2 linked regions of the Saccharomyces cerevisiae S288C genome follow. The gene in region 2 interacts genetically with the main gene of each other region. Each region holds a gene or a part of one and is shown on either strand. Other genes may lie near its edges. The genes, in order: YAL037W and APM1.

Region 1 (3,177 bases), on a different chromosome or scaffold from region 2:
ATTGGAACTTGGACGAGCTGTTGCAAGTCATGTGGGATAGACTAAATCTAGTCCGTATTTACACTAAACCAAAGGGCCAAATACCAGATTTTACCGACCCTGTGGTGCTAAGATCAGACCGTTGCAGTGTCAAGGATTTTTGTAACCAAATTCATAAATCTTTAGTGGACGACTTTAGAAATGCTCTGGTTTACGGTAGCAGTGTCAAACATCAACCTCAATACGTGGGGTTGAGTCACATTTTGGAAGACGAAGATGTTGTTACCATCTTGAAAAAGTGATTCTCGAACAAAAAATAATATAAGAAATGAAAAAAAAAAAAAATAATTCATAATTGAATATACAAGCATTTGTATTCGAAAAGGGGGTATCGGTTATTTTTTTTCGCTGTTTTTCTTCCACCGTTTGAGTATAGAGCATCTATAACATTTAATTATCTCTACATAATGAATAAAAAAAACAGTCGTAATAATTAAAAATGTTATGCTACCGAGGGCTCTTCAAAAGCGACCTCGCTTTGTGGTACCCATAAGCATTCTGTTATCGATCGTAGAGTTTTCTGGTAAATTGACACATCTCCTCTTGACTGAGCTCGTCTGCCTACGTTTTAGAATTTCCTGGGTTTGGCCAAACTCCCACAGTTCTTTATCATTCAGAATATCGAACTCATCGGATGTACTGATGGATATGTTCAGGGTTGCTTTCATATATTGCAAAGAATCCTGGATGGTCACTAGTGGATAGTAGGTCATCACCCTGGAAATAAGAAATTTGAGAAGTGCGCAATCATAGGAATGTGATGATATAACCAAGATATTTCCAAAATGACTAAATGACTTAAAGAGTGCCAACAGATCGTTGAATGCCTGGTACTGTACCAAGGGCTCACCACTGAGGACATTCGAATTACAAAACTGGGGCAGTGATTGGATTGTATCGGTTTGTGCCTGTGTTAAAGATGTTTTTATCTTTTTGCCCATCTGCAAGTACTGTCCAACGAATTTCTGTAGTAGTATTGTATTGTTTCGTATATACAAATCAATTGCGGCCTTCTTTGTTGCTACTGCTGCTGTAGTTGGTGAGCAAAGATTCACGACTACCGAATTAGAGTTCCTGAAATACTGGGTATAAAACGACGCTATCTTTTCAGTACTTAGATTGACACCAATGATGAACTTAATATTTTCATATTGCAAAAGAATAGGTTGTGTCAATATCTCACAGGGTCCAAAATAAACATTGGTATCCAGTTTTTGTAACTTCAGGTCATCTATGGGGCTTGAATCTTCGATTTCCATATCCATAGCAGTGTTATTTCCTTTGCTTTTTGCGTAATTATTGGCACTATGTCACTGATTATATAAGCCACTTCAGTTTTCTTCCCATCTAATTAATTTTTCTTCGAAACACATTCTGTAAATAAGGGATTATGTTATGAAAAGAATACGTACTAGATGGCTAGAAGAATAGGACGGAGTAGCACTTATCGTTTCTGATAAGAGGATCAATCCTTTGAAATCTTGAAACGCGAATAAATTTAGGACACTAATTGAATCTGCCCGCGTCATTTTTTATAAAAAATAGATTAAACCACCAAACGAAGGCCAGAAGCTGAACATAGTTCACTGGCATCTGCATTTATGTACCCATGTATAACCTTCCAAGTTAGTTCTTGGGAAACGAAAATTATATTGAATTTTTTATTGAATTTTTAGCGTATCCTTTCGCCATCCTGATAATCATGATAACCTTGAGGGAAGATTATCTTGCGATGGGAGGGATCAAATTTAGCAAATTTTGACTCTATGTCAATCTCGTTTCCAAAAATGCAACACCTCATCGTTATGACGACAATTGGAGACAAAAAGGTTAACAATAACATAATACTCTTTTTATAGAATACCTTATAAAATGTATGTTATTTAAGTAACTTATAAATCTTTATTTGAGTTGAAAAGAAAAACCATGTCTTTATATAAAATTTAAAAAATATAATTCAAAAAAATAATATCTTCATTCAATCATGATTCTTTTTTTAAACGGTAGAGACTTGCAAAGTGTTGGAGTGACCAGCACCGGCCTTGAAACCTTGGATGGAAACGTAAGTGTCACCCTTCTTCAAGATACCGAATTCCTTAGCCTTTTCAATACCGAAGTTGATACGGGCTTCAACATCATCAGTCCAGTCAGAGACAGGTTCCTTTTCGAAAACGAATGGGAAGACACCTCTGTACAAGTGAGAGAATCTAGCAGCTCTTGGGCATCTGGTAACCAAGATGATTGGACAGTTTGGTCTGTACTTGGAAACCAATCTTGGGGTGGTACCGGAAGTGGACAAGACAATGATAGCCTTGGCCTTTTGTTCGAAAACAGCAGCGACAGCGGAGGCAGCGACGGTTTCGGTGGTGGAGGTTGGCTTTGGAGTACAGTTTCTCATGTCATCGTAGTTTGGCAAGTAAGCGATAGCTTGTTCAGCAATGACAGCGGTTTCAGCCATAGTGGTAACGGCGTTGATTGGGTAGTTACCCTTGGCGGTTTCACCAGACAACATAACACAGTCAGCACCATCCAAGATAGCGTTACCGACATCGGAAACTTCAGCTCTGGTTGGTCTTGGGTTGTAAGTCATGGATTCCAACATTTGGGTAGCACAGATAACTGGCTTACCAGCCAAGTTAGACTTAGCAATCAATTTCTTTTGGACAGCCAAGACTTCTGGGGCTGGGATTTCAATACCCAAGTCACCTCTGGCAACCATAACACCGTCAGTGACCTTCAAGATTTCGTCGAAGTTGTTAACACCTTGTTGGTTTTCAATCTTGACAATGATCTTGACGTCCTTACCTTGTTCACCCAAGACTTCTCTGATGGTCAAAACATCGTTGGCGGTTCTGATGAAAGAAGCGAAGACCATGTGGACACCGTTCTTGACACCGAATCTCAAATCTTCCTTGTCCTTTTCAGACAAAGCTGGCAAATCGACATCGGTACCTGGTAAGTTGACACCCTTGTGGGAACAGATCTTACCGGCGTTCAAAGCCTTGACCTTCAAAGTCTTGTCGTCAACGACTTCCAAAACTTGGAAAGACAAAACACCATCATCAACGTAGATGATTCTACCAGCGGAGATGACCTTGGTGATGTTCTTGTAGTCAACGTACATGATCTTGTCGTCAC
Region 2 (4,192 bases):
CTTTGAGAGAAACCGATTTATTTTCTTACCAAAAAAAATTGAACGAAATTGATAACAAAAGAATCAATGGTAAGTTTCCAACAAAATCTCAGGACTCAAAGGGGCAATCAATACTTTTATACCTGTTGCGTAGATGTTATGCCATAATTTATAAACTGTTGGAAAGTTCAGAGCCCGTATCTGAAGCGTTGCAGCCAATTCACAATCAACTATCTACAGTTCGTCGTTGCCTATTAGAATTGAAAAGAATGGGAGGTGTGAATAATGAAAGAGAGTTATACCCTTATCAAATGAAATTGGCTTCATTGGACAACCTGAGAACTGAAGGTATATTCTATGACTCTGATGGCAATATACCTGAAGGCCAAGGTATATTGAATGCTTTATTAGCAGAATGTTTTGATATCTTGCATGAATTAAAAGTGGAAGCCGAGGAAAAAGCACAGAACTCTACTTCAAGTGATGGTTCTGACGACGATGACAACGGAGAATCAGGCATAGACTCGAACTCAAACGACAGCGAGCCTGAATCTGAATATCAACAGGAATAGAGGAGAGTGTTTCTTTATCTTCCATTTCTCCCTATTTTCTTGGTAGAGGAAAACATTATAAACAATAAAATGAAATACAGAAAGAAAAAAAGTTATTCTCTTATGTCTATGTATATAACAAACCCTGAATGAGCATCTATATAAAAACAAAAATATATAAACAACTTTATGTCATTATCATAATTGTCAATGGGAGGGGGGAGAAAAAGAGGAATAAGGACATACGTACCCTGTGTCTTTGTCCATGCACCGTAGAAATTGCTTTTTTTATATATTTTTCAGACATTACGTCAGCCTTATTGTATAATCATCACCACTTTGCGTGATATATCTTACCCATGGGTAACTCTTATACTGCAATTTGGGTTCGTTAATTTTAAGATAACGTACTTGAATACCTGAAGTAGTAAAGTAGGGTATTTGAAATTTGATTTGGACAGGTCCCTTCAAGATTTCCGCGTTACTTTTTGGCATTGTTCTATTGCCATCCTCGTTATTTGATATTGAAGGCAGTCCCAATTCGGCAGACATTGAGTACTCTTTACCACCGGGAAAACTTCTTATTTTCCATAAGATTGCACTTTTTTCAGGGACATACTTTAGAGACCCGTGTGAATATTTAAAAGTCGGTGTATCCGCGTCGTCCGGGACCGGTATCAATATCTCTACATTAGTTGCAGTAGATTTTCTTTTAATTTGGGCCTTGGCCTTACAGTGAATTTCAATTCTAGAATTCGAATGAACTTGAACGTTTACATCACACCAAATTAACGGTTTTATCGTAGTAGATAGTCTGTAGTTCATTAAATCGAACTTTCCATCAGGAGGTATAAACGTTATAATTTTTTCATTCTCGAATTTGCTTAATCGGACACATTGATGAAATTTCAAATCTTCCAATTCAATATTAACTTTCTTCTTGTTTGTGGCCGATGATGATGTTATTGATGGTTTTTTATCAGTTTCTGTGTTATTATCGGATGTTGTCGCGCTCGCTGATGGGATATTTGTATCATCATCCAAATATTTGGAGAAAATGCCTTTATCATTAATACCTAATTTCAGATCAGGCATACCAGACAATTTTGAGTTAACCTTAACATCGCCGATAATTTCTGATCTCAAAACTTGACCTTTTTGAGTCATGAGCATATTAATAGATTCGACGATATCCAGAAAGGCTTCATTTTTCTTGTGAGTGATGCCTTCTGGCCTCCAACTGACTGAATTTGTTAGTGCGACGGGTGGTCTAGTAGCATTCCTCTTCTTCTTGGCGGATTTAACTAGTTTGAAGGATTTTTGTGTTATGTACTGTTTCAGCATCTTAGTTTCTGTGATCTGTGGTATACCATAATCCATCACTTCGTCCAGTAATTCATATATTATAACAAAATTATCTCTAATAGATTCTTCTTCAACGGTTTTTAAGTAGTCACTTAATACCTCCACTAATTTGTGCAAAAAAGTAAAAATGGCAGCCGCATTGGCACTAAGAGAAGTCACAATTGCCACCACGTATAGATCGTTATGCTGTATAAATAGATATTCCAGACCATTGTGGTTCAAACATGGAGGAATCAGATTTGATTGTTCCTCTAAATCCGAGAGTAATATAGGGAATTTGTCAATTGCAGAAAGCGGAATATCATCTCTATACCTTCTTGATAGGAGTGGTTTCCCATTATGATCGCAAAAATACACTGCAGAAGCCATTCTGTGTCCCTCCAAGTTCGTAATTTACAATTTTCAAAAATACTCCTATATTTAATTGTACGACTTAGTTTCTCTATATGCTTTTTTTTGTTCAGCCCACTTTCCGTTTAACTCTTAATTTTTCATCGTCTAGCAATATTTCAATACGTTCAATTAACATCGCTATCAACGACTTTCAAAGACTATTATCATAATTAGAGATACCCTTTCTCGCTTAGTTGAAGTTACGTCTAATGATGGCTATAGTATATCGAGCGTATTTTATACCATTGAAATATCTTCATCTTTATTACATAACTATTATAGATCCATAGCAGTCCTATTGATAGTATGCAGTAATTTTAGCGCATAGAAAACGTTTATATTGGGTCGAATGCTCAATTATTTTCAGATGGAGGAATACCTTGAAGAAAATATATATATATAAAGACGCACTATTCAAATAATCATCAGTGCCAACATTAACTGTTTCCCTAAGATGCGTTCAGTTGTGATTCTTTTTTTTTTATGTCGCAACTGTCTGTCGTAGTTCTGTCAGCTAATGTTACGAGAATGTCCAACTGCAGTGTTAGGTTTCTGAAAGATGAGAAAGTTTCTGCCGGATAAGTTATCAACGAAATTATGGTGAATACTTGAGGTATGTGACTAGGATGGTAGCGCCGCTAGAACGCCAAAATCAGAACGAAGATTTTGGTTTCTGCCGAACAATTTTTACTATATTAATAAAAATGAAGGAACATTCTTAAATTATTGACACCTATTTTTGCATAATTCATTATTTCTACGTATAACTTTTTGTATATTTTGTAAAAATCGATGTGTCTATTCATTCATATTCTAGAGCGGCGGTCCAGAAGTTAGCTTCCAATTCACAAACTTCAGCATATATTGTGACCAGTGTATCAAGTTTTTCTGGAGGGTATGTTTCCAAGATGTGATTCAACAGCTTTTCGCCTTCAAGCATAGCTTCGTGGCACCATGACGATGAGTAAGTTTCACACCATTCACGGTAAACGGAGCCTTCTGCTGCAGTTACTTCATCCTTGATCTTGGTCAAAGCGTGAACATAGCCCATTAAGCAAGGATTAAGAGCTATAACTAACTCCTGCCAGTTACCTCTTCTGGAAACATCATTAAAGTAACGACAGTAAGCCCTTAATGCAGGACCTCTTTGAATCTTTTGTAAGTAGTCGGGATCCTTAATTCCAAATTCCTCCCTTAATCTCCTTTCATGTTGGCAAAGCCCATTACGAACGCATTCGACAATAACTAGCTCTTTCTCCAGGTCTTCAAGACACGGGGATTTACTACCCGCGATGCAGGAAATCCTGGCATAATTGACTAAGTACAGGTAATCTTGTTCGATAAAAAATTGGAACTTCTTAGGCTCTAAGGAACCGTCTGCTACTTTTCTAACAAAATCATGGTTCACATAGGAGTCCCAGTGGGGCTTAACTTTAGGGTGATTTATCAGATATTTATAGAAACTTCCTCCAGGGATTTTGTTAAGAGAACTTTTGACTGGCTTTTTGTGTACGGCATCTGATGCAGTGAAACATTCGTCACTGAGCATTTTTTCTAATGGAATTTCGATGGCGTAGACATGATTAATTGGCCCGTTGTCCTTAACAGTCTCTTTCGTGACATCGCAGCCAATGGCCACCGCATTTTGGACGTACTCAATACCGCCATAAACGGATTGGGGAAGGGAATAACCGCGAGCCAAATTTGATGCAATGGCGGAAGCTAGGGTGCACCCGGTACCATGAGTGTGGGTTGTATTAACAAAATTACCCTTGAAGGTTATAAACCTTTGTTCGGCCCCTAAGTAAAGGACATCAGTGATGTACTTTCCTTCTTCATCATTCCATGGAATGTGACCACCTTTAACCAAAATATTGGAACACTTGGTGATTTTGGCAAGGTCT

What was found.
Region 1: mutations in APM1 (region 2) and YAL037W together harm fitness more than expected from each alone (negative genetic interaction), as found in Saccharomyces cerevisiae (one large-scale study listed by BioGRID).

What each region holds. Positions count from the first base shown.
Region 1 is NC_001133.9:72,147-75,323, reverse strand, and holds YAL037W (uncharacterized protein), read right to left. Parts: upstream 1,305-3,177; coding exon 501-1,304; downstream 1-500. Other genes in the region: GTP-binding protein RBG1, read left to right, coding at 1-281; YAL037C-A (uncharacterized protein), read left to right, coding at 1,806-1,898; pyruvate kinase CDC19, read right to left, coding at 2,036-3,177.
Region 2 is NC_001148.4:50,408-54,599, forward strand, and holds APM1 (Apm1p), read right to left. Parts: upstream 2,265-4,192; coding exon 837-2,264; downstream 1-836. Other genes in the region: CUB1 (Cub1p), read left to right, coding at 1-551; THI21 (bifunctional hydroxymethylpyrimidine kinase/phosphomethylpyrimidine kinase), read right to left, coding at 3,091-4,192. UniProt on the Saccharomyces cerevisiae protein: Component of the adaptor complexes which link clathrin to receptors in coated vesicles. Clathrin-associated protein complexes are believed to interact with the cytoplasmic tails of membrane proteins, leading to their selection and concentration.